Macaca mulatta: one gene and its partners. The protein of the gene in region 1 purifies or fractionates together with the protein of each later gene. This does not show direct contact. Links are inferred from orthologs where the notes say so. Each region holds a gene or a part of one and is shown on either strand. Other genes may lie near its edges.

Region 1 (7,499 bases):
ATGCCTAACTAATTTTTGTATTTTTAGTAGAGATGGGGTTTTACTATGTTGCCCAGGCTAACCTCAAGTGATTCACCAGCCTTGGCATCCCAAAGTGCTGAGATTACAGACATAAGCCACCACACCTGACCTGTTGTCTTATTTTTCAATATGGCTGCTAGAAAACTGAACACAGCCTCTGTGGCTTGTGTGTTTGGCTTACATTTTTATCAAAGCGCAGCGATGTGGATCATTCCTCTTAGCTGCAGTCTGTCTGGGTTTTGTTAGTTGGCGAAGTAAGAAGCCCTAAAACTGAATAGTAAGAAGAATTACTATTTACTGTGCACAGATACTTACTCTAAGTGCTTTACAAGTAATGACCCATTCAGTCTTGTGAGATGGCATGGCTGCATGAAGTGAGGTTAAGCAATTGTCCAGTCATGAAGCTCCAAGGAGGCTGAGTTGAGGCTGAAGTCAGGCTGCTGGCTCCAAAGCCTGACCTTGTAACCACTAACTGGACAAGGCCCCGTGAGACACGGCATAAATCCACCTAAGAAAGCAATGACCTTAGAGCTTACCTTGTGGTGGGGCGAAGTTTCCTTCACTACAATACATTCTCCTTACATATCAATGGAGTGTCTGTCTTTCCTGACTTTTAACAGAGCAGGTTATAAACAGACACACATTTGTTGCAGCAATTTCAGCTTTAATGAAACCAGCACAGGCAGTATTTTTCTGATATCCGCTTGCAACATTATGAAGTCAGCTTTACTCTTTGCCACTAATTATATTAACTATTTTTAGGGCAAACTGTCAATGCACCATACTGGTTCATGCTTCCTAGGTTTTCAATTTATTTTCTTTAGCCATATCTATTTATACCTCAAGTGTTTTTCTTTTAAGAGTCATCCTCATTTTCCTGACAACGATATAGTTGTGGCTCATAATTAAGTTATAAAACATGCTGGGAGGCCAACGATGACGTGTGATTGCCATGGGGGATATTATTGATGAATATTGGATTGGTTTTTGAATTCTGAATTCAAACCCACTTTAACATTTTGAATCATAAAGTTACAGAACTGGTAGGGACCCGAAGTCTCTTTAGCGTTGGTTAAGATCATAGGCTTGGAGTCAGCAAGCAGCGTGGACCCTTAGGCTGGGATCTTAACCATTGTAAGTCTTAGTTTTCTTGTCTAGAAAATGGGGATCCTGACATCCATGTTCTAGACCTCTTTTTGTGGATTGAGACAGTGACTGTAACTCTGTTCCCTGTATCTACTTTTATTCCATGGTAGTTGTGGTAATTACTATTATTATTATTATTACTATTACTATATTATCTTTCCCCAGATGACTCTAAGGGTATACAGTCTCTTCAAGCACATCTGGCCCTATTCTAACAGGCCTTTTTCTCCTCCATGCTCTACCAGAACTCCTGGACTTTCCCTTAGTTGGAGAGGTTCATGGTTAGAAGGAAGAAAACCCTGCAACCCACTCCCTCCCTTTGCTCTCTCTCTGGGGCATCGTGGGCAGCTCTTGCTGCAGAGAGCTGTGCTGAGGCCCTTTACCTGTACAGCGGACCCTCCAACAGCACTTCTGTCTATGGTCCTACTCGGCAAGGATCTGCCTCCACACAGCCCTCCCAATGTGCCTGAAAATATCAGCAGTGATCCTTTCCCTGGCCACCTTGCTCTTAAGGCTCCTGTTCATAGTACTATGTGGATGTGGACCTCCTCGCCTCTCTGCACTGCCCATGATGGTGGATTACAGCAGAATGGGCTCGCCAGTTGACAGCTTTCCCCACTCATGTCTTCTAACTAGCTAAGCTTAGGGTGGCTGTCCCCATTGCGCAGAAAATTGCTACTTAGCCCTCATAGCAAACTTGTTTTGAGAAGCATAACCATAAACCCATCTTTGGCCTACGATCCTAGGGAGTCCTCATGCCAACAAGACCTTTTGGGGTCAGCCACGAATGTGAAGTTAGAATGCAGTTTAGGCTCTGCCATGACTCTGAACTAAATATGATTTTAGGGGTGAGGAAACTGGGACCTAGGGGTTTGAGGAACTGGCCCGAAGGTATGGAGAGTACCTGACTTTGTCGTTCTTCCAGGATATGATATTTATTCCTGGCACGAATCCCCTCTACCTTGTATTGAAAGCAAGGACAGCCTCCCTGCAACCACACATTACACCTGGCCATCCAGCAGGTGCATACTAAAAGTGTGTTGAGTTGAATTATCAGACTCTCAGCAGCCATGCAGCACTGAAGGGACCGCAATCCCTTTGCCTCTGCGTCCTTAGGGCTAAGCAGGAGGTCTCGATGTCTCGCACTGTGGGCCGGGCCGGGTTTGGTGCCTCAGCCAGCAGGTAAGTGCTGTCTACGCCTCCTGCAGGTCCAGTGGTTCCTCTCCAGACTTGGGTGCACTGGGCCAGGCTGCGCCTTACTGACCTCAAGGCTTCCTGTGTTTGTGGCTTTGGGGCCCTCTTCATCGTGTGAATAGGAATAAGAAGATTGTTATTTCTGGCCAGGTGCGGTGGCTTGCGCCTGTAATCTCAGCACTTTGGGAGGCCGAGGAGGGCGGATCACCTGAGGTGGGGCGTTCGAAACCATCAACATGAAGAAACCCCGTCTCTACTAATAATACAAAATTAGCCGGGCGTGGTGGTGTATGCCTGTAATCCCAGCTACTTGGGAGGCTGAGGGAGGAGAATCATTTGAACCCGGGAGGCGGAGGTTGCTTTGAGCCGAGATCACGCCACTGCACTCCAGCCTGGGCAACAAGAGCGAAACTCCGTCTCAAAAAAAAAAATTGTTATTTCTGAAATAAATCCCCTATTTCTCACTATTTAATAATATTTAAATAATTTTGGGTCTTGACTCAACCCAAAACCAGGCACCCCAGACCCACCCACGGCCCGTCGCCTAGCAACAGTCTCCCCACCCCGCCTCCGCCCCGTTGCCAGCCGAGTGCCCAGTGCGCATGCTCAGAGCCTTCCTCCACACTGCGCCCCTGCAGGGCGCGCGGTGGTGACGTATAGAGTTCGCGACGCTGTCGGCGACCCGACCTCTGGGTTAACCTAACCCCGGAGCCATGGCCTCTGCTGGGGTGGCAGCCGGGCGACAGGCGGAGGATGCATTGCCGCCAACGTCCGACCAGCCGCTGCCTGACACCAAGCCGCTGCCGCCCCCTCAGCCGCCGCCTGTCCCTGCGCCTCAGCCGCAGCAGTCGCCGGCGCCACGGCCTCAGTCACCTGCCCGCGCGAGGGAGGAAGAGAACTACTCCTTTTTACCTTTGGTTCACAGCATCATCAAATGGTAAGAACCTAGGAGAGGACCAGGCCCCATACTCCCTCCAGCTTCTCGTCTCAGCCGTTTCAGAGCTTCAAGAGGCCTTGGCGCTCTAGGGCACGCCCCCGTTTCGCAGATGGGGAAACTCAGACCCAGAGCGGGAAGAGGCCTTTCCCAAGACCACAGAGACATTCCATGAGTTAAGCAAACGATTTGAGCCCCGAGAGGTGCGATATCCTTAAGAATGAAGCCAGCTTAGAGACTACATACAGACTCTTGTCCAGCGGCTCAAACGTGCATCCCATCGATCTTGAGCAAATTAAATCTCTTTAAGTCTCAGTTTTCTCACCTTTAATGTTAGTAATACTCACTTTAGTTCCTTATTTCAACAGACTCAACAGATAAGCATCATCTTCCCTGTGTGGGACACTGCCAAGTGCTATGGGATGGACACAGTAAAAGGGGCATAGAAGGAAAAAAAAAGACATGATTGGGAATAACCCATAATTCAAAAAGATTGAGAGGGGAGCGGTGGCGATGGGAAATATTAGACTAAGCAAAAACACAGAAGTTGCCTGAGATGATTAGACCCACCTGTACTGACTTTGTTCCAACAGTACCAAAGGAGATAATTGTCATCCTTTTGGCCAGCCTTTAGGGTAGCCTGAGTTTTCAAAGTGACTCTGTAAAGGAAAAACCAAAAACAAAAGCACGAAAGTCTTACTGATCCCAGTGTTTGCCTAAATTATTATTTTTTTTTTTGAGACAGGGTCTCGCTCTGTCACCCGGACTGGAGTACAGTGGCGTGATCTCGTCTCACTGCAGCCTCAACCTCCAGGCCTCAAGCCATCCTCCCACCTCAGCCTCCCAAGTAACCGGAACCACAGGCATGAGCCACAGCACCCAGCGAATTTTTGTACTTTTTGTAGAGATGGAATTTAGTCGTGTTGCCTAGGCTGTAAATTATTTTCATTATGTTACTTCACTCTATATCCACGTGATAGTAGGTGTAAACCCTTAGGCTTATAACTCTTATTCAGCCATTAAAGACCACAAAGTAAATTAAAAGAAAATTACGAATCCAGTAACATTCAGGTGAACATGAATGTGCTCTTCACTGTTTTACTGAAACGGAATTGTTACAACGTGAAGGTCTTGACCGTTAGTGGCCCACCCACTTTTGAGTTTAAGCAAACTAGATTCACTTGCTGTGGGATGACCTGATGCTCTTCTGCCACTTTTCAAATAACTACAAAGGCTTTGTTCTCACATTAGACCCTGGCTTCATTTGGCTTCACTTGGTGTTTACTGTTTATAAGGGCCGGGCGTGGTGTCTCATGCCTGTAATCCAAGCACTTTGGGAGGCCAAGGCAGGCGGATCACGAGGTCAGGAGTTTGAGACCAGCCTGGCCAACATGGTGAAACCCTGTCTCTTACTAAAAACAAAAATTAGCCAGGTGTGGTGGTGGGTGCCCGTAATCCCAGCTAATCGGGAGGCTGAGGCAGGAGAATCACTTGAACCTGGGAGGTGGAGGTTGTATTGAGCCGAGATCATGCCGTTGCACTCCAGCCTGGGCAACAAGAGCAAGACTCTGTCTCAAAAATAAATAAATAAATAAATAAATTTAAAAAAATGTTTCTGGGATAAGACAGCCTGTTCAGTTTTTGTGAGCCTGTGATAATGATCACAGACAGAAATACGTATGGAGCCCCTATAATCCCAGGGCAGTGCCGGATTATAAAGGGTTTAGTCAGATTAACCCCAGTTTACTGGTTTTAAGAAAAATGTGGAAAAAGGAAAACACAAAATGTACACATTCACAAAGACAGCTCTTGAACCCCCCAAGAGTATATTCTTGAGCCCTGGTAAAGCAGCTGGATTGGGCTGGCCTTAAAGATGTAGTAGTAAGTTATACTACAGAGAAGAGGCTTTGAAGTTAGACAGTCCTGAGTTCAAATCTGTATACTGACATTTTCATGCCTTCTAATATTGATATAAATGTCTAACCTTTCTAGGCCATAATCTTCTTATCTCTAATATGTCCATAGTGGACCTCAAAAGAGAGGTTTAGATTATGTAATAGCTCTATAATGTGCTGACTGGGTGACCTGGGCAAGTAGCTTAGCTTCTCTGAGCCTGTTTTTCTCTTATGAAATGGGAATGCTTATGTCATAGGATTGTTGGGAGATGTACTCAAGAGCGTACCTGTGAAACCTAGTGGGCTGATCACATGTGCTTGTCTCTGTTTCGTCTAAAGGGACACAGAAGGGACTTAAAAAAAAAATACATAAAACCTTCAGATGCAGTGGCTCATGCCTGTAATCCCAACACTTTAGGAGGCTGAGGTGAGCTGGTCGCTTGAGCCTGGGAGTTCAAGACCAGCCTGGGCAACATGGCAAAACCCCATCCCTACAAAAAATACAAAAAAAAAAAAATTAGCCAGGCGTGGTGTGTGCCTGCAGTCCTGGCTACTTGGAAGGCTGAAGTGGGAGGATCACTTGAACCCAGATCATGCCACTGTACTTTAGCAAGGGTGACAGAACGAGACCCTATCTCAAAAATAAAAAGCATAAAACCGAAAAGAATAGGACAGGAGATGATCGCTACAAAGTGAATGACCAGTGCTAATTCATCTACCAACTCCTAAGCAGCTGGCTTGTTAAACATGGCCTACCCCCAGATCTCAGGAACTCTAGTGCAAGGACCCCCTGGAAATAGGGGTGAAGGTGGGTCTAAGAACAGGATGATTACTTGAAGTCTGTTTAAGAAGCAGTCCTGTCCCACCTCCCAGCCCCTCCAAGCGGCCAGGTGACTACCCTTCTTCTAAATTGGTGGGTGGTTAAAAGGTTACTCTCCCAAGATTTATTCTTAGGAACAAATAAGCCAGAGAGTACCTGGACTGGGGGACAACAGGCACACTGCAGGGGTAGGTAGGGGGAATCATAACTGAAAAGAGGGATTAAGAGAAAGTTCGCAGTCTGAAGAGAGACCCCACTCGAGCCTTCCCCCACCTGGCTTCTAGATTGGCAGCCAAAGAGAGTGGAAGTGCCCTCTCTATCGTGTGTGACCAATTAAGAGAAAAGACATTGGAAAAAAAAAAAAAAAAGCCTAGTCAATTAATTCTGAGAAAATGAACAAGCATCACTCATTTGCAGAGCTTCCACTAAGCCTTTTAATGTTTTATTCTTAAACATATGAGTGGATGACCAAGGCCACTAAGCATAGGAAGAAACCCCCTGGTAAGAAAGACACGGGTCAGGTGCGGTGCCTCATGTCTGTCTGCAAGCCCAGCACTTGGGGACGCTGAGATGGGAGGATAGCTTGAACCCAGGGAGCTGAGGCTACAGTGAGCCATGATCACACTGCTACATTTCAGCCTGGGTGACATAGACTCTGTCTCAAAGAAGAAAGAAAGAGAGAAAGAGAGGAAAAAAGAGAAAGACAAGACAGAAGAGCAGAAAAAGCCACTTGGAGGGAACAATAGCTGCAAAGGAATGGAGTGGTTCTGCAGCTGTAAATATGAGAAGAGGCTAGGATCCAACCTGAAAACCTTCAGTATAGGCGTGTCTTTTGAGTTTATAGGCTAATGAGGGAGGAATAAGGGCAGAGGAGGAAGGGAGAGGAGACCACGTGAAGCCTGGGGGAGACAGAAGGCTTGGTGAGATTGATGCCAACATGAGTCTTCAATTAGGAAAGGGAGGCAGGAGGAAGGGTGGTATAGGAAAAACATGTAAGGACACGAAGCCAAGAAATAGCATCTACTCATGGGAGTCAGCTTCTAGCTTGGTGGTGCTGAGCATACATCCAAGGCAGGAAGAGGGGACTGGGGAGGAGGGAAGAGCCAGGAAACAGTGCAGGGGTCTTCTGAGGGATGGGGAGCTAGTGCAACTGTCAGGCTGGAAGCCAGTCAAGACACAGTCGTGGCGGGCGGAGATGAGGGCTAGGATCGTGTCCAGTCCACCCAGGTGGTGCTCTCTGGCCCTGGGTCCCTTCCTTTCCTATAACTTCCCCAGTGATCCTTTTGTTATTTTATTTTTTTTTTTTTTTGGAGACGGAGTCTCGCTCTGTCGCCCAGGCTGGAGTGCAGTGGCCGGATCTCAGCTCACTGCAAGCTCCGCCTCCCGGGTCTACGCCATTCTCCTGCCTCAGCCTCCCGAGTAGCTGGGACTACAGGCGCCCGCCACCTCGCCTGGCTAGTTTTTTTGTATTTTTTAGTAGAGACGGGGT
Region 2 (6,463 bases), on another chromosome or scaffold:
CTTCAATTCCCTCATGCTATGCACGTTAAAATAAAATTTCTGTGCCTTTCTCCTATTAACGTGCCCTTTGTCGGCTGATTTTTCAACAAACCCTCAGAGAGCTAAGGGGAAGCTTTGCCTTGGCCCTTACATGCTATATAGCAGAGGGTAAAGTGCTTTAAGTTCATGTTCTGAGCAGTCCCTCCACCCATTCCAAGGAAGCACAGCAAGGAGCTTGGGACACTTCTCAAAGAAAGCCCAAAGATTTCTTTACAACTTATTTTTTACAATTCCTTTACAGTAGCCCCAAAATTTTATCCACTTTCGCATCCTCAGGATCAAGCAGAGTGCCTAGAGTGTACACTCTAGAAATGCTGATTGAATTAAGAAACGGCTGACAGTGTGTGCAGGTAGTGTGGCCACAAGAATAGTTTCAAGTCCCAGGCACTCATTAGTTGCATGACCTGGGGCAAGTCGCCTAAATATACCAAGATCCATTCCTTCACCAATGAAACAGGACTACTACTACTTGCCTTCCCTACCTTACTGGCTCCTCAGGAGGCTTTACATAATGAGCGGCACTGTAAGATGCTATACACGTATATGTACAGTTTTGACAGGGCTGTTTCTTAGTCTAAATGGTGAAATGGAAAGAAACCTGGACTCAACAGTCAGAAGCTGTTGGGCCGTTGTACAGGGCTACGACTAACAGGTTCCGTTTTCCCATATTAAACACAAAGTTTAGTCTCGACGATGTTTCGGACTCTGCACTTTACAGTCTGTTAAATCCGCTACAGGCTCGGAACCTCAGGTGTCCTCAGAAAGGTAAACCCCAGGGTTCCCAGATGCACCTGCAAGGGCAGGGACAGTCAAGGTCGCGGTACTGAGACGCGGGACGCTCACCCAGTCAAAGTCACACGGGTTACCGTCTTCGCGTTGGGTGGGCAAACCGTGGCAGAGTGGCGGCAGTTTCCTCACGAGTAGGAAGGCAGCAGAGAGCAGGGCCGACAGAAGGTAGTAAGGTTGGGCAAGCCATCGTGAAAGTCGCGGCACCGAATACACCAGAGCAATTAGAGGAGCCAAGACCGCCATCTTTTCGGCCGCAAGGGCCACTGCTCACCGGCGTCGTAGGTCCGGCCCCGCCTCCCCCACCATAGCGACTGCTATTGGGCTACATCTCAAACGTACGGCCTCTAAACCCGGATGTAGTTCTGTCAACGCTGTGGTATGTCAGAACCCAAAAAAGAACTTAATATCTTATTGGTTGGTCTAGCTGTCGCTTTATCAGCTTAAGTCATTTTATTGGACTGTAGCTAACGTAGCTAGCAGAAGACTCTAATAAGGTTAAATAGCACTTCCTGAACGTTCTCAGAGAGCGACGGAAGTAGTTGTTGAAACAAGGTAGGCGGTGCCTGAGGCATCCAATGACAAGCGGTTCCTTGAGAAAGAGGTGGGTATTCCTTAAAGGCATTGTCCAATGAAAATTACCAACGCCAGACACCGAGACAGCGCCGGGGCGGAGGGGACGATGGAGAATTTCACGGCGCTGTTCGGGGCTCAGGCTGACCCACCACCGCCCCCAACCGCACTAGGCTTCGGACCAGGAAAGCCTCCACCCCCGCCACCGCCTCCTCCGGGCGGGGGACCCGGCACGGCTCCGCCTCCCACCGCGGCCACGGCCCCTCCCGGCGCGGACAAGTCAGGAGCTGGCTGTGGCCCTTTTTACCTCATGAGGGAACTGCCAGGTGAGTACTCGGCCTTGCCAAAGCCAGCCAATCAAATCTTAGAGAGGAGGTGTTGGGCGTGGCTCTCAGCCGGCTAACGGAGGTGCGAGGTAACCTAGGCAACGCATACCCGGACTGTGGAGCCCTAAGTCGAAAGGGCTATTAGGATTCACAAGCAGAGGGATGAGTTGAATTCAACCAAAGGGATGAATGGCGGGGAGCGGGGTGGTGCATCTCCGTGACTGTCTTTTGCACCATGTCCAGGCTGTGTTCCTGACACTGGTTTATGTCTCCCTAAAAAATGATCTAGGGCTGGGCGCAGTGGCTCACGCCTGTAATCCCAACACTCTGGGAGACGGAGGCGGGCGAATCACCTCAGGTCAGGAGTTCGAGACCAGCCTGGCCAACATGATGCAACTCTGTCTGTACTAAAAACACAAAAATTACTTGGGCGTGGTGGCGTATACCTTTAATTCCAGCTACTCGGAACCCGGGAGGCGGAGGTTGCATTGAGCCGAGATTGCTCCACTGCACTCCAGCCTGGGCGATAGAATGAGACTCCGTCTCAAAACAAAAACAAACAAACAAAAAATCAAGAGTTTGAGTTTGGAACTCGAGAGGCCTGATTTAATATCTTTGGGGACCTAAAGTTTTAGTTACAAGTCTCCCACAGACTTGCTGTGGGTTTGGGGCAAGTTGCCACTCTTCCAAGATTTCTGCGTTTCCTGGTGTCATCAAAGAAGGGGTAAGAATCGAACCAAACTCTTTTCATTCAAAAAATTATTTTGTTGAGTACCTATGTACCAAGCACTTTTCTAAATGCTGGAGATACAGTTGTGAACAAGACTGACAAGATGCTTGCCTTTTTTGGAATGTACATTTCAGTGTAGGAGGCATTGTAAACAAGATAATGTCAGAGAGTGGTTAATGCTAGGAAGAGAAAACATTATAAAAAATTGAAGGTGGCCAGGCGCATTGCTCACGCCTGTAATCCCAGCGCTTGGGTAGGCTGAGGCAGGAGGATCCTTTGAGCCCAGGAGTTTGAGACCAGCCTGGGCAACATGGCGAGACCCAGTCTCTACAAAACATACAAGATTAGCCGGCCGTGGTAGTGCTTGCCTGTAGCCCCAGCTACTCAGGAGACTAAGGGAGGAGAATTGCTTGAACACAGGAGGTCCAGGCTGCAGTGAACCAAGATTGTGCCACTGCACTCCAGCCTAGGCAACAGATGAGACCCTGTCTCTTAAAAAAAAAATTGAGGGGCAGAACTACTTTAGCTAGAGTGGCCAGAGATGCTCTCTCCACATAGCTAAAATTTGAACTAAAATGTAAGCATAGACAAAGGGCCAGCCAGCTATGGACAGGAGGGAGAGATAATTCTAGATACAGGAAATGAGGTCAGAAACCCTGATGTGAGAAAAAGCTTAGAATATCTGAGGGACAGAAAATCAGTTGGACTCCAGTGAAGTGAACAAAAGGAAAGAGTGTTAGGAGAGAGATGAAGCTGGGAGAGTTAGGCAGAGGCTTTTATAAAGCAATAAAGGCATTTAGATTGTAAATACAAAAGGAAGCCATTTAAAACAATTTTTTATAGAGACAAGGTCTCACTGTGTCACCCAGGCTGGACTGCAGTGGTACAGTCATAGCTCACTGTAACCTCCAATTCCTAGGCGCATGCTGTCCTCCCACCTCAGCCTCCCAAGTAGCTAGGACTGCAGGCATGTGCCACCACAGTTGGCTAACTTAAAAATTTTTTGTAAAGACTGGGTCTTACTGTGTTGCCCAAGCTGGTCTTGAACTCCTGGCCAATGACAGTCCTCCCACCTTGGCCACCCAAAGTGCTAGGATTATAGGCCTGAGCCACTGTGCCCAGCCAAGGAAAGCCATTTTAACATAGGAACTTGGTCAAATGTACTTATTTAGAGAAGTAAATGGATACAGGGTGTTAGATGTAGAGCTGACAGGGTTGAAAAGCTGAATATAGAGCCAGGTGCTGTGGCTAACGCCAGTAATCCCAGCACTTTGGGAGGCTGAGGTGGGAGGACTGCTTGAGCCCAAAAGTTTGAGACCAGCCTGGGCAATATAATGAGACCCCATCTCTACAAAAAATAAAAGTAAATTAGCTAGGGATAGCAGCGTACACCTGTAGTCTCAGCTACTTAGGAAGCTGAGGTGGTAGAATCACTTGAGCCCAGGAAGTTGAGGCTGCAGTGAGCTGTGATTGTGCCACTGTGCTCCAGCTTAGATGATAGAGGAAGAAGCTGTCTCAGTTAAAAATACATATTGTATATAGAAGTGAAGGAGATAGAGGAATTGATGCCTTTTTAAGTTTTCAGCTTGAATAATTGGGTGTATGGGTACGAGACTTGGAAGATGAGGAAGGAACAAGTTTGAAGAGGTGGAAATCGAGTTGTTTTGGACATGTTTGGTCTCCAAGATGCTGCCTTTCTCTCTCTTTTTTTTTTTTTTTTTTTTTTCTCCTGAGACAGAGTTTTGCTCTTGTTGCGCAGGCTGGAGTGCAATGGCGCAATCTCGGCTCACTGAAACCTCCGCCTCCCAGGTTCAGGCGATTCTCCTGCCTCAGCCTCCCGAGTAGCTGGGATTACAGGCATGCGCCCCCACACCCAGCTAGTTTTTTATTTTTAGTAGAGACGAGGTTTCTCCCTGTTGGTCAGGCTGATCTCAAACTCCCAACCTCAGGTGATCCACCCACCTTGGCCTCCCAAAGTGCCAGGATTACAGGTGTGAGCCACCACGCCTGGCCTCCCAGATGCCTTTCATTGTCTCAAGTCTTAGTTCCGCATCATGACTTGAGGGAAGTAGCGACAGATATTGGTATGGTACTTCAAAGTTCACAACACATATGAAGTAGTATTTAATACTTAGAATAGCCCTTTGAGGTAGCATTATTATCTACATTTTATAATTGAAAAAACTGAAACATGGAGAAGTTGACATCCCTTTGATTAGTTAGTGGTTGATGTCCACCAGCAGTTTCCTTTAATCTTTCTTTTGCCTTCCCTATTCTGATTGTAGCTATTGGTATCAGTCAGTTGACAGATTGAATATCTGTTCTGGGCAAATGCTGGGTGTATGAGGAGGGTGAGATGGAGAGAGAGATTAGTAATGCTGGTCATTGCTTTTCAAGGAGATTAGTTAGGAATGTAAAATTTGTGGTTTAAGGATAGTGACTATATTTCCTGTCAACTCCATCTCATTTTGTGCTCATGCCTCACAACAGCAATTAACAATATCTTAGCCATCAATATTAAGAACTATCTAATGGTTTTCAAAGTGTGTTGCTATCCAAAATGACAGTAAGAATAAAATGTCACTTGAGCTAGACCTTGAATAATTCATGTTGGTGAAGAAAAATTAGGAAGAATTTTCCTAAAATGAAATAATGTGAGGGGTGTGTTTTTGAGGCGATAGGGAGATTCATTTGGACGGATCAGAAATTTTGCATAGAGGAGTAGTGGTTGATGAGGCCCCAAAGCTAAGTTGGAGTAAGATGTAATTAGCCTTGAGTGCCAGTCAAAAGGAATTTGAGTGTTCTCCTGAGGGCAAAAAGAAACCATTAAGATTTGTGAACCGAGGAGTACTGCTTTCCAAAAATATCTGGAACATGTGGGTGCCGTGGATTGAAATAGAGAAGCCATGAGTGATGTTGGCAAGTTTGGAATTTCAAAACGAAAAAAAATTTTTTTTTTTTTAATCTTGTTGGGCAGGGTGGTTCATGCCTGTGATCCTAGCACTTTGGGAGGCTGAGGCAGGCAGATTGTTTGAGTCTAGGAGTTCAAGACCAGTCTGGGCAACATAGGGAGACCCCTGTCTCTACAAAAAGTATAAAAATTAGGCCGGGCGCGGTGGCTCACGCCTGTAATCCCAGCACTTTGGGAGGCCGAGACGGGTGGATCACAAGGTCAGGAGATCGAGACCATCCTGGCTAACACGGTGAAACCCCGTCTCTACTAAAAAAAATACAAAAACCTAGCCGGGCAAGGTGGCGGGCGTCTGTAGTCCCAGCTACTCGGGAGGCTGAGGCAGGAGAATGGCGTGAACCCAGGAGGCAGAGCTTGCAGTGAGCTGAGATCCGGCCACTGCACTCCAGTCTGGGCGACAAAGCGAGACTCTGTCTCAACAACAACAACAAAAAAAATTAGCCCAGCATGGCAGTGTATACATGTAGTTCCAGCTACTTGGGAGGCTGAGGCAGGAAAATAGTTTGAGCCCAGGATGCAGAGATTACAGTGAGCCAAGATCGTGCCATTGCACTCCAGCCTGGGTGACAGAGCGATACTATCTCAAAAAATAAATAAATAAAAATAAAAAATAACCCTTGTAGAATAGTCAAAACTGGAATATGAACTCTCAAGTTTAGAAAAAACCCAGACTGCCTTCTCACCTGGGTCTTAAGGATAACCATCTGGACAGAGGAGAGCTGGCGGAGCAGGGGAAATTCAGAAGATTGTAATGGCAAGAGGCAGTGCCCAGAGTTATGAGGAGAGAGGCTGTGACATTGGGTCTCCTGCCATTACCCTTGCTCAGTCTTCTGAGTTGTTTGGTAGTAAAGGGAAGGAAAAGGGTGAAATAAGGCCTAGCAGTATAGAGCGAAAGTGTCTTGTTTATTTAATAAATATTTATTAAGCACCTAATGTGTGTACTGTGCTAGGCACTAGCGATACATGAATGAACAAGACATTGTCTGTGCCTCCAAGGAGCTTACAGTTCAGTACCTGTTTTTCTGAGTGAATGATTAT
Region 3 (6,523 bases), on another chromosome or scaffold:
CTTAATCATATGTTCTCACAGAGATGCTGGCAGTACGGAAATGTCCCTGGTTGGGTTGCCACATCTTGGCAACGTATCTTCAAAGAACAAGACTCTCTGGTAGACACCTAGCAGTCTCTGCCGTCAAACCCCTTTCCCATTGTGGACTTAAGCAAGTCTGGGCTTAGCTTTAAAGAAAATGTGTAGCTAATGACATAGACATCTTAATTACTAAAATTAATGTCTGTAACTTAAAATGGCCAAAGGACTTATTACCTGAGTGATAAAAACAATTCATGGGACTTGCCTGCAAGAGTCCATTCAGGATAGGGAGAAAAGACTGAGATAGTGGGTTTACAGGAGCAGTCATGAGGAAAAAATAAAGTTTCTGTTTTATAATTCTTCTGGGCTCCTCTCTATTAACATGTTATACTACCTTTTGCAGCTTAAGCAAAATTTTTAATGGAATAAGTTTAAAGATATCATAGTTTTACATTTATAGATTGATATCCATTATTCCTCTATCATTCTTAAAGCAAATGATAAATCCCCTTTTCAAAGACGAAAACTTTTGCTATTACTGAGGTTATCATCAAAGTTTTACTGCAACTCCAAAACATAGAAATGTCCCATACAACAGCGGTGAACACTTTGCTTTTTAAAGTGATTATTCTTAGTGCAGGGGTACTCATTTGTCTATGCTTGTTATACAGTGAAATTACTGCCTATGACATCTCATAATTGAAAAAGTTGGAGTCAAGATTAAAGCTGTTTACATTTTTACTGAAACCTCTCTTAAGACTGTCCAAAAGAAAATAAACTAATATATGAGGCTATTTATCAAAAGGAAAAAAGAAACATAAACATCTTTCATGGTCTTTCATTCATTTCATCAATTAGGACACACAAGGCAGCATCTTTCTCTATAATCTGATCTCTCCTATGACCTGAATTTTCTCTTTGTTCATTCTGTCCAGTACAATTGTTGCTATCATCAGCATCCATTGGTTCAGTTTTTACTCTCATTCCTGCTTCTGAATGAGGCAAATCATCAGGCAAAGAAGCCAAGCAATTCTGAATCATTTCAATTACTCGTTCTAGGTGCTTTTGAAACCTCTCAGCTGTTTCAAGCCGTTGACGTTTCTGGACCTCCATCATGACTCTCAAGGTCTCTCTTGCTTGGTGGGGTCGGTATTCATTTATAAGATGATGCACGTGTACAAAAAGCAGCTTAAGATCTTCTAGTTTCTCTTCTCGTTTTATACTCCCAGGGCTCCTTATTAAAATATCTAAAAGGTCCAAGAAATTAATAAGGATAGACATATTAAGTTTTCTCAGTTCTTTTTTGTGATCAAACTGCATAGGATGAAGCCGTTCGATGCCCTGACTTTCCAAAGGGCGGATGATAAGATCATCGCATTGGAACTGATTGCCAAACATCATGTAACTATCTTTTATTGGAGGGGGAGGCTTGGGAGCTAAGCCTTCTTGAATATTTTCATCTGTATATTCCTTGATATATTGCATTGGAGGTGGTGGAAGTGCACTTACTTGCTGTGGTTCACCCATTGTGGACTATCAAGAACCTATGGACACAGACCAAAGATTTATTAGAGCCACAAAACAAACCTGTTACATTTCATAACTACAGACAGAATATTTTCTTCCTTTTCTTCCAGTAGTTTGGGGTCCAAGACAAGATGATCTCCTTGGTTTCTAAAACTAACATTTATGATAGGTAAAGTTTGCCATATTTTCTAAGTAGGCATTATATTCTCAACCATTCACATATTTTCCATTCTCTCCCTAATAATTTCATCAGCATGAAAAAATCTGTAGCATCTTCTGATCTCTAAAGAAAATCTTCCACCGGGTGCGATGGCTCACACCTGTAATCCCAGCACTTTGGGAGGCCGAGGCAGGCGGATCACAGGGTCAGGAGATCGAGACCATCCTAGCTAACAGGGTGAAACTCTGTCTCTACTAAAAGACAAAAAAAATTAGCCGGGCATGGTGGCGGGTGCCTGTAGTCCCAGTTACTCAGGAGGCTGAGACAGGAGAATGGTGTGAACCCAGGAGGCGGAGCTTGCAGTGAGCCGAGACTGTACCACTGCATTCCAGCCTGGGCGACAGAGCGAAAATCTGTCTCAAAAAAAAAACAAGAAAATCTTCTGGATTCCACACCCTTCACCATTTATGCCCCCATTTCTCTACTCCTCCATAACCAAACTACACGTTGTCTCCCAATCTCATATCAGAATCACTTTTGCTTTATGTTACAGATTGATTTCCAATAGCAAACACTTACTTGTATCTCTCATAAACACTGACAAAATTAACACTGCTAAATCCTAAAGACATGGTATTATCCAAAGTTCCTGAATGAAATGATTCAGTTCCATATCCTTTTTGTCACAGTAAACTATGCAATTTTATATGGACACATTAACTTTTTTTTTTTTTTTTTTTTTTTTGAGACGGAGTCTTGCTCTGATGCCCAGGCTGGAGTGCAGTGGTGCGATCTCAGCTCACTGCAACCTCCGCCTCCTGGGCTCAAGCAATTCTCCTGCCTCAGCCTCCCAAGTAGCTGGGATTACAGGCGCACACCACCATGCCCGGCTAATTTTTGTATTTTTAGTAGAGACAGGATTTCGCCATGTTGGCCAAATTGGTCTCTTAATTCCCCACCTCAGGTGATCCGCCCACCCTGGCCTCCCAAAGTGCTGGGATTACAGGTGTGAGCCACCGCGCCCGGCCTGTATGGACACATTAACTTCCCTACAACTATCACAGAAATTTCAAACCCCAGGTTCAAACCCAGTATCTTCTATGGCCATAATAACCTCTACTTACTCTACCTTAAGCCTAGATATACCATCCAATGAGAAGATTCTGAAGTGCTCCTTTACACTGGTATTATCAAAGTTTCAAGATATAACACCCTCTAACATCAGGTGGGGCAAGTATTCTATTAGAAGCAATATTATACTTAGAATTCGTGAGGTACTAAGGGCAGGCGTGGTGCAGCCCTGAGTTTCCACCATGCCACAGTAGTGCATAGGATGATGCAGCCTCGACCTCCCAGGCTCAAGCCATCCTCCCACCTCAACCTCCCAAGCAGCTGGGAGTACGAGGCAAATGTCACCACGCCCAGCTAATTTTTGTATATTTTGTAGAGACAGAGTTTTGCCATGTTACTCCGGCTGGTTTTGAACTCCTGAGGTCAAGCAATCCTCCTGCCTTGGCCTCCCAAAGTGCTGGGACTACAGGTGTGAGCCACCACTCCCAGCCAACATTTTAAAACTTATAACATAAATTCAGATTACAGAAAAAGTGCATGAATATACAAAGAACACTTCATATTCTTCACTCAGATTCTCCAAATGTTAACATTTTCCTTCATTTGCTTTATTGGTTTCTCATTCCTTCACCCCTGAATACTTCAATGTGTTTTCCCAGGACAAGAATGTTTTCTTCTACCCACAGCACAATTACCAAAATCAAGGAATTAACATTGATCTGGTACTTCAAAACACAGTTTTTGACACCTTACGTTTCATTCCACTCAAACCTTTTTAGGTGAGGAGTGCTGCTCTGTACTTTCCTACACGATGTGCATTCCTGTACTTAGGTTGTCATTTTCCTAAGGCAACTACGTGACAGATACTGTTGTTTTATGGCCTCTCTAACATAATCTTCATAACAATTCTATGAATTAAGGTTGTTTGTTTTGTTTTTTGAGACAAGGTCTCAATCTGTCTCCCACGCTGGAGGGCAGTGGTATGATCAGGGCTCACCGCAACCTCTGCCTCCCGGGTTCAAGGGATTCACCTGCATGACCCTCCTGAGTAGCTAGGGACTACAAGTGTGTGCCACCACGCCCAGCTAATTTTTTATTTCTCGGTAAAGACAGGTTTTCACCATGTTGGCCAGGCTGGTCTGGAACTCCCGACCTCAAGTGATCCGCCCACCTCGGCCTCCCAAAGTGCTGGGATTATAGGCGTGAGCCACCACAGAGTCCCATGAATTAAGTTCTATTATCAATTTCATTTTAGAGGTGAAGATCCCAAGTCTCAATGAGGGGAAGTGTTGCCCCAGATCAAAAAGTTAATAAATGGTACAACAGGAATTCTTATCCCAGGTCCCTTTAGCTCCAAAGGGCAAGCTCTCTTATATCTCTAAGCCGTGAAGCATCTAATTGTACAATTAGAACTTGCATATTACAAAAATTATATTTTTCTCTACTGTCTCTCTAGATGGAACTTTTCAAAGGCGATGGAAGTCTTATTTTAATAAAACCAGAGCCAAGCATCATAACTGGTTCTTAGACTCAAGATCCAACATCTAGTGTTTGTTCTGGGGGAGAAGGCGCCTCACCAGAAGACGACAGATATTCCAGGGTCCCAGCCCCAGAGATTTGATTCATTCTGTCCACTGTGAATGGGCCCTGGTATGTCGCTTTAAAAACCTCTCCAGATGGACCTGACGATTAGGCTTGGTTGGGATCTACTGCCCTCGCCTGCCCCCGTATCTCAGCTGTTTCACAACTGCTCCCAGAAGAAGGAAGGGCAGGGAGGGCTACTCTCATGTTACAAAGGGCCAGAAAGGGCAAATAACTCGCCCAAGGCGACACAGCCTAGAAAAACAGCGGCGAGGGGACTAGACACCACGTCTCCCAACCTCCACTCCGGCTCGGCGTCCCCACACGGAGGAAGCCCTGGGACTGCAGCGCTAAGAGCCCCCTCCTCCAGGCTGTCCATCCCGAGACCTCCACGAGCGGCGGGGAGGCCGCGCTCTCGGAGAGACTCGGGACAGAAAGACGAGAGAGCGTCTTCGGAGGCCGAACTCCTCCATGCCTCCCCAGTTCCCAGCCCAGCACAGAGGAAACCGCGGGGTCCGGAAGAAAAAAACGCACACACGCGGGAGCCCCAAGCCGTTGCCGCCCACTCACCTCAACTCTGGCTTTACACTGGTAGCCGCCTTCCCCCTCTGCAGCCGAAACCAATTTCCGGTCTCCTCCTGGAAGAAGCCACCGACTCTGTCTTTGATTGGCTGTAGGAGCTGTCCTTTAACGAGATTCTAGATCCGCCTCAGACCGATCGCTCGCTATTGCGCCTGCGTATATTCGACTCCTGCCATCGCCACCCCTTTCACTGACTTTTAAAAGTAGTAGGTGAGGGTTGTTTCTTCGTTTCTTTAAGGCATAAAATTAAACAAGACATCTTATTGCTTTATTTTTTATAGACCCCTTATTGACTAGAAAAAATCTTATATTTTGCCGGGCGCGGTGGCTCAAGCCTGTAATCCCAGCACTTTGGGAGGCCGAGATGGGCGGATCACGAGGTCAGGAGATCGAGACCATCCTGGCTAACACGGTGAAACCCCGTCTCTACTAAAAAAAAAATACAAAAAACTAGCCGGGCGAGGTGGCGAGCGCCTGTAGTCCCAGCTACTTGGGAGGCTGAGGCCGGAGAATGGCGTGAACCCGGGAGGCGGAGCTTGCAGTGAGCTGAGATCCGGCCACTGCACTCCAGCCTGGGCAATAGAGCGAGACTCCGTCTCAAAAAAAAAAAAAAAAATCTTATATTTTAATATGTAACATGCTCTTGTAAGACTTCCATGAATTTAGACATTTATGACGTGAAAATAACCTCCCAAAGAAAACCTAGCAAAGGTTGTTCGTGTGTTCCACCCGCTGCCCGCATTACAACTCTTCTGCTGACAGTCGCAGCTGGTAGTTCCATTCCTTTTGTCTTTTCTTTTTTAATTGAACCCATACAATGAAGACATCTTACATAAAAATTCGAAAATATAGATATGCAGGGTTTTTTGTTGGTTTATTTTGTTTTATTTATTTATTTATTTTCTTTGAGACGGAGTGTCTTTCGCCCAGGCTGGAGTGCAGTGGCGCGATTTCGGCTCGCTGCAACCTCTGTCTCCGGGGTTCAAGCGATTCGCGTGCCTCAGCCTCCCAAGTAGCTGGGATTACAGGCATGTGCCACCACACCCGGCTAATTTTTTTTTTTTTTTTCCTTTTTTTGTATTTTTAGTAGAGACAGGGTTTCACCATGTTGGTGAGGCTGGTCTCGAGCTCCTGACCTACAGTGATCCGCCCGCCTTGGCCACCCAAAGTGCTGGAATTACGGGCGTGAACCACGTAGCCCGGCCTCCCCCATTTTAATTCCCCCGCACATATAAATTTATTTCCTGAAGAAATTCATCCTCACTGCTGACCCCAATATGTCCTGCACCCGTGACTTCCAATGCTTGTTCCCAGTCCTCGTTTTACTCCCTCTGTCAGCAGCATTTGGCACATTTGATTATTTGGATTGCCCCAGGACTCAGTTCTCCAACCACTTCTCAGTCAGATATCACCCAGATACATGCAGGCCCTGGAACACCGTTTCCTCTGCACTTCAGACCCTCATATCCAGTGGTGACAGACATCTTTACCCCGTTGCACTTTACTCAATTGCAAATGTTCAATCTAAGGAATCACCTTTTTCTCCTTTCTCCCATACCCCACCGAAACTACCATACCAGC
Region 4 (6,424 bases), on another chromosome or scaffold:
AAATATGTTTGAAGTAGTTTCCTATTGTGTAGTTAGTTTGCTTATCAACCATGATAGGTATCCAAGACCCCAGAGGGAGACAGAGGTGTTATGGAAGAGGCTTGAGGCTGGCAGCCAGGAGACCTGTGTTCTGGCGCTGCCACTGCCTAGTACACAGTAGTAGTTATGGTACCTCTGCGTTTCTGGGCTCAAGTCTTCCCATCAGTAAAATAGGGGTAACAGAAGCCTTCCCACAGACCATTAGCTCTCTTGGCTGCCCTTGTCTGACGATTTCAGTGGTACATTCTTTAGCCCCAGTAATTTTCTCAGCCTGTACACTGGCTGGGTTCCCTTTGCATGTCTGGTTAGCTCTGTTTTCTGCTTTGCTCTCTTCTGCCTAAGTCAGCTAAATATTATTGGGGGAAGTCAGCAACTAATTGAATTTCAGATCTCTTGTGGGTCTTCCACTGGATCTTTTTTGTACCTCTCTTCATTCCTTGTATCTTTTGACATCCTGTGAAGTTTTTGCAGTAGCTGTTCCAGTTTTCATTGCATTCTCCTTTTTCCTTCATAGCATCCATCTCACACTCAGCAGACAACCATAATTCTTAATTTACAGAGATGACACAGGCTATGGAGCAGGGTTCCATCAGTGCCCACCCTCTGTCTCAGGAAGAGGTGTCAGTCTTTGCAAAGGCAAACTCTTTATCTGGTTACTCTTCTCCCACCTCTTAAATGTAGCTCCTGTCAAGTTCTATTTTAGAGCTTTTGTCTGTTGGAGCAGCCGCCACTTTGTTTGAGGCCCATTGAGAGTTTGAGACTCTCTCCAGTCTGTTTAGGGGACTTCAGTAGTTGTTGGTTGAGCATGCACCCCACATGGTGCCCACTGCGAGGCACTGGAGATGCAGAGACAAAGAGCTCCCACTCACCCACCGCAGCTACACAGACTGCAGAGGAAGCATTAGGTTAAAGAATATTATATCTTTTCCTGAAGTTTTCAGAAGTGCATGGTCCATACTTGAGACTGCAAGGGAAAGGGTATTTACTTATAATTCAGGTATACTTTCCTAAAATATGCATTCATATTAAAATATACTTTTGTTTTTCTGTAGATGTACAAGTTCTTTTTAAGGGCTTCATGATATTCTACGTGTGTATACTTCACCAGGTCTCTTATCAGTGGACAGTACAAACAGTACTACCATGAATGTCCCTGCACTCGTATCTTTGTTTACAACTGCAAGTGTTTCTGCAGTATGAGTTCTTAGAAATGTTACTGTTAAGTCGAGGACGTACGCGTGTTTTGCCAAACTACCCTCCGAGATAGCTGAATCCGGTACATTTTAAAGCAGGAGGCGGTAGAAGACGCTCGGCGGTTCCGGCCTCCGAGCAGCAGGCGGCGCTGTGAGCCGTCTTCGCGGAGGCCACGCTGACTGACTTCCGGTGTCGGCGGTGGCGCAGGCGCAGTCACCGCGGAGCTGACGCGGAGGCTGGCGGCCACGGGGAGCGATGCCGTACGCCAACCAGCCCACCGTGCGGATCACTGAGCTCACTGACGAGAATGTGAAGTTCATCATCGAGAACACCGACCTGGCGTAAGGCTGCCGAGGGAAGAGGCTGGCGGCTCTGGGGCGCCGGGAGGCCCAAGCCGGGGCCCCGGGGGCAGGGAGCGGGGGTGGAGTGGGGGTGATGTCCTTCCAGAGCTGCCCCCCTGCGCCAGGGCTTTAGCTTTGGGAGCCTGCGGCGCGGGCCCAGCCTGTCGAGGCTGCAGCGCCTTCACGCCTCTTGGCTTTTCGTCTTTCAGGGTGGCCAATTCGATTCGGAGGGTCTTCATCGCTGAGGTGCCCATAATAGGTAAGCGACCCCCCTTCCTCGTTCCCGGGCCCACGGGTTCCTGCCCCGCTCTCCACCCACACTCCCTGGGGCTCCTTCCAGTCCTTGGTTCGGGCTGAGGGTGGTAGTGCTGAGAAAAGTGCATTGCTGGAGACTTGACCATACCCTGTGCCCTTGGCCCAGTGGCCGCCTCCCTGGCACCCACGGACCACTTAGGTCCACTGTTGTCCTGCGTATGCATTGCTGAGAAGCATGGGTTTAACCGTGTGCAGACTTGGGTTCAAATACTGTTTTCACTACTATTGTCACAAAAGTTTTTTAAATGTTTTCAACTTTTATTTTGGATTCAGGGGGGTACATTGGTGCAGGGTTGTTGCCTGGGTATAGTGCGTGATGCTGAGGTTTGGGATATGAATGATCCTTTCACCCAGGTAGTGAGCGTAGTACCCAATAGGTAGTTTTTTACTCCTAGCCCCACTGCCTCCCTCCCTGCTCTAGTAGTCACCAGTGTGTCTATATTGTCATCTTTATGTCTATGCGTGCCCAGTTTTAACTCCCATGCGGTGTTTGGTTTTCTGTTCCTGTGTTAATTCTCTTAGGATAATGGCTTCCAGGCCGGGCTCACGCCTGTAATCCCAGCACTTTGGGAGGCCGAGGCTGAGGAACACCTGAGGCCAGGAGTTCGAGACCAGCCTGGCCAACATGGGAAAACCTCGTCTCTACTAAAAATACAAAAATTAGCCGGGTGTGGTGGTGCACACCTGTAATCCCAGCTACTGGGGAGGCTGAGGCAGAACTGATTGAACCCGGAAGGTGGAGGTTGCATTGAGCTGAGATCATGCCTCTTACGCTCTAGCGTGCGCAACAGAGTTGAGACTCCTTCTCAAACAAAAGAGAATAAAAAAGAGGATAGTGGCTTCCAGCCGCGTCCATGTTGCTGCAGAGGACATTATTTCGTTCTTTTTAATGGCTGCATCAGTTACTATTTTTGAGAAACTTGGGCAAGTTATTAAACTTCTGCGTACTTCAGTTTCCTCATCTGTAACATTCAGCCACTAATGATCTTTATCAGGGTAATGTTAAGGATTAAGTGAGGTAATCCATATAAGTGCTTTATGTTTAGTGAGTGCTCAGTGCTGGTAGATGGCTTTTTTATTAATCTATTCCTTCAACAGCATTTATGGAGCATGTAAGTGGCAGGCATGGTGGTAAGCTCTGGGAATACAAAGCTGTAGAGAACATGGTTTTTGCCCTCATGGAGTCCACAGTGAGGTTGCAGGGGGAGAGATGAATCCACAGACAACACTAAAGCAAGGTAGACTGATCAGTAGTTCAGGAGAAGCATAGCTATGGTGCAGTTGGCTCTTAGAGGAGGGAACATCAATTTCTGGTCTGGTTCCAGCCACTTTGCTCCAGGTGCTTAATGCATTGATTATACTTGTATGAAATACTTCAAGCATTTCCGAGAGTCAGGTCCAGAGAGTTTGGGTTAGGCAAAAGAAATATGTGGCATCAAATATTTAGACTTTTAAGGAAATAAGCAAGCCAAATGATTAGGCAAGAGAACATTGTAGTTTATCCACTACCAACCCCGGCCCCCCAGTCACTTCTTCAATTCAGCTTGGAGTGCTGGACCTCCCCCTGACTAATCACTTCATGTCTCTGGACCTCAGTTTCGTCAAGAGTCAGGTGAGGGAGTTGTACTTCATGATGCAGCCCTGCCATTCTGAGTCTAAATGCCTCTTTCCCCACAAATTCAGTTCTACAAATAATGTTGAGCACCCAAGCTAGGAATACAAAGACATCCCAGCACCTGCCTGAAGGAATTTCTGAAGCTTGGGGTATAGACATAACATACACAAATGTGACACAAGGCACACTATGACAAGTGTCTTCAGGGAAGTCTGAAGAGAGTTTCATGAGAGAGGAGGTGAAAGAGAGGGAGTGCCACACCTGTAGCATAGAGGGCAGGCAAGGCTTAGTTTTTAGGAGGCACAGAGGATCTTAACCTGTACAGTGAGGAGGGGAAGGGTGTGCTGGAGGAAGGGGCCGGGGGATTAAAGAGGCAGAAAAGCTTGGGTCAGGGTTCTCTTAGTTGGCTTGGACTGGGGAAGCAATGGGAAGCATAGCAGGACAGAGTAGGTGGAGGCCTAGCATGTGGAGGTCCTCTTCCGACCTCTGTTCCTAGTGTCTGTGTCCCTCATTTGGCAGTTGGGCTCCAATGCCATTTGATTCCTGGATTTAGTTGGTTCCATGCAAATGTTTATGAATGAATAAATATGTGTTTAAGTCAAGCGTGTGTGATAGATAATACCGTCTTTACCTTCCTACCTGCTCATTGCTGCTAGGGATTGGGTTCTATATTTAGTATGCTTTGTGCGTTAAAGGAATTCAGTAAAAGTCTGTTGGTTGAATGTTTAAAAAGTGCTAAGTTGGGCAGTCCAGTCATTATATCCTAAAATATAGGTATGGCCCATAAGTCTGTGTTACTTCTGTGAGGTTTTCCCTGACTTTGAAGTGCTCAAATAGTTCATGTTCTTGGATTTGGTGGTGGCACAGGTAGCAGATTTAAGTGCTTCTCATGGAAATACTCAGCTCAAATAAACATGTTTCCACTCCCATGATATTCTCTGAGTCAGTGTTTTCTGTGAAGCAGGGAGCCCCCTGCGTTAAATCACCTGGGCAGGGAGGTGAGGTGTGTGGTGTGTGTGGGTCTTATTAAAATGCAAGTTCCTGGGCCCCACTCTAGTGCTGTGGAATCAGCCCAGCCTCTGCAGTTTAGTGTCAGGTGATTCCTAAATCTTGAGAACCACTGCATTAAGTCTCTAGGTAAATTTGATGGCTAAACTCCATGTCTGCTTCTTTCATTTTGTAGCCATTGACTGGGTTCAGATTGATGCCAATTCCTCAGTCCTTCATGATGAGTTCATCGCTCACAGGCTTGGTGAGTACTCCTTTTATTAGAAGGGAGGGTACTGTGCCTAGTGTCAGGAGGGGGCTTCCTTCCAGCCTCACCCCCCGGAGGCTTCTGGGTTCTCATTTTGGCTTGGCTGTTTGGTTTTCTTTAAAGTGCTTTTCTGTTTTTTACAGGATTAATTCCCCTCATTAGTGATGACATTGTGGACAAGCTGCAGTACTCCCGGGTATGCTGTGTGATTGGGTGGAATGTGAGGTTTGGTGGGGAGGCCTTGGGTCTCAAAGGGATTTTTCCTGACATTTGGCATCCAGCTTGAGTAGTATTGTAGGTCTGGAACAACAATGTGGAGATGTTGTCTAGAGCCTGGGCAGGCCTTGATCCTTGGTTCTGATGGGGCTTCAGATTGATTAGCATGCAGAACATCAGGAAATGTTGTTAGCCAGCTCCACCAGATTGCCTGTTTACAGTGGAGGTTCTTCCTTCCAAAGCGTCTCTTCCCAGTAGCAGGGGCCTTAGGATGCTACAGGAGTCAACAGAAGGTTGGGGTAGGCAAGGAGCAGAGGGAATGGGAGCTGTCTCATAAGAGCAGCTTCTGGGGAACTAGTCCTGGTGTCTGCAGATTCGTGCTGTCCCCTCACTCGTAAGTGATGCTGCTTAAACATGGCCACACTCTTACCCCCTTCCTCCTGGTCGTGTTTGCTCCCTGATGGCATGTTAACAGGCCTTCATAGTTTGGAGAGAGTGGGATAGTAGTAGGTTACCTTCATCCTTTCACTAGGCTGCATTACATAGCAGCGTAAGACTACTCCCTCTTGATGGCTTTGGGTGATCCAGAATCAGTCCATTTTCTAATATTCTCAAGGGCCATGTCATTTTTGTGATGGCTATGATATATCTTATAAATATGTATTTTTTTAAAAGAAATATTCGGCTGCATGCGGTGGCTCACGCCTGTAATCCCAGCACTGTGGGAGGCCAAGGCGGGTGGATCACAAGGTCAGGAGATCGAGACCATCCTGGCTAACACAGTGAAACCCCATCTCTACTAAAAATACAAAAAATTAGCCGAGTGTGGTGGCACGTGCCTGTAGTCCCAGTTACTTGGGAAGCTGAGGCAGGAGAATGGCGTGAACCCAGGAGGCAGAGCTTGCAGTGAGCTGAGATCGCACCACTGCACTCCAGCCTGGGTGACAGAGCAAGACTCCGTCTCAAGAAAAAAAAAAAAATTCAAGCATAGAAAAGCATGGAGCTAGTGTAATAAATACCCATGCTTCCACCTAATACTAAGTTGTCACATTTTAACATTTTGCCCTATTTGTTTCAGATCTCCAGATTTTTGTTTTTTAAGAAATAAAACATAGATATTGGTGGGGACGGTTGTACAACCAATTAAGAGCAATTTGGTGACATCTTACATAAAGAGATGCATGCTCTATCACCTAGCAGTTCCTTTCATTAAAATTTTTTCTAGTATTTATTGAACAAAGATGGCATGGTCTCTCTCTCTCTGGCTTTTTCTGAAAATCTGTAGAAAAGTTGAAAAACTAGAATAATAAATACCCTTTTACTTTTCACCTATAGTTACCAATTATTAATATTTTACATTTGCTTTATTTTTCATATGCATGTTGCTATTTTTGCTGAACTGTGTGAAAGTTGCAGACATCCTAACACTTCTAAATACTTCAGCATGCA

Evidence for each region.
Region 2: the proteins of MED9 (region 1) and MED19 purify together in Homo sapiens (affinity purification with mass spectrometry; 6 studies listed by BioGRID and IntAct, counting the BioPlex papers as one, with this or other methods). This does not show direct contact. The link is inferred for Macaca mulatta from reciprocal best matches to the Homo sapiens genes MED9 and MED19.
Region 3: the proteins of MED9 (region 1) and MED7 purify together in Homo sapiens (affinity purification with mass spectrometry; 5 studies listed by BioGRID and IntAct, counting the BioPlex papers as one, with this or other methods). This does not show direct contact. The link is inferred for Macaca mulatta from reciprocal best matches to the Homo sapiens genes MED9 and MED7.
Region 4: the proteins of MED9 (region 1) and POLR2C purify together in Homo sapiens (affinity purification with mass spectrometry; 3 studies listed by BioGRID and IntAct, with this or other methods). This does not show direct contact. The link is inferred for Macaca mulatta from reciprocal best matches to the Homo sapiens genes MED9 and POLR2C.

Annotation. Positions count from the first base shown.
Region 1 is NC_133421.1:19,030,099-19,037,597, forward strand, and holds the start of MED9 (mediator of RNA polymerase II transcription subunit 9), read left to right. Parts: upstream 1-3,042; 5' UTR 3,043-3,074; coding exon 3,075-3,298; intron 3,299-7,499.
Region 2 is NC_133419.1:15,681,791-15,688,253, forward strand, and holds the start of MED19 (mediator of RNA polymerase II transcription subunit 19), read left to right. Parts: upstream 1-1,474; 5' UTR 1,475-1,507; coding exon 1,508-1,724; intron 1,725-6,463. Other genes in the region: TMX2 (thioredoxin-related transmembrane protein 2), read right to left, coding at 883-1,071. UniProt on the Homo sapiens protein: Component of the Mediator complex, a coactivator involved in the regulated transcription of nearly all RNA polymerase II-dependent genes.
Region 3 is NC_133411.1:166,005,575-166,012,097, forward strand, and holds the start of MED7 (mediator of RNA polymerase II transcription subunit 7), read right to left. Parts: upstream 4,990-6,523; 5' UTR 4,931-4,989; intron 1,566-4,930; 5' UTR 1,549-1,565; coding exon 850-1,548; 3' UTR 1-849. UniProt on the Homo sapiens protein: Component of the Mediator complex, a coactivator involved in the regulated transcription of nearly all RNA polymerase II-dependent genes.
Region 4 is NC_133425.1:53,058,522-53,064,945, forward strand, and holds the start of POLR2C (DNA-directed RNA polymerase II subunit RPB3), read left to right. Parts: upstream 1-1,435; 5' UTR 1,436-1,488; coding exon 1,489-1,574; intron 1,575-1,783; coding exon 1,784-1,833; intron 1,834-4,687; coding exon 4,688-4,756; intron 4,757-4,902; coding exon 4,903-4,955; intron 4,956-6,424. UniProt on the Homo sapiens protein: Core component of RNA polymerase II (Pol II), a DNA-dependent RNA polymerase which synthesizes mRNA precursors and many functional non-coding RNAs using the four ribonucleoside triphosphates as substrates.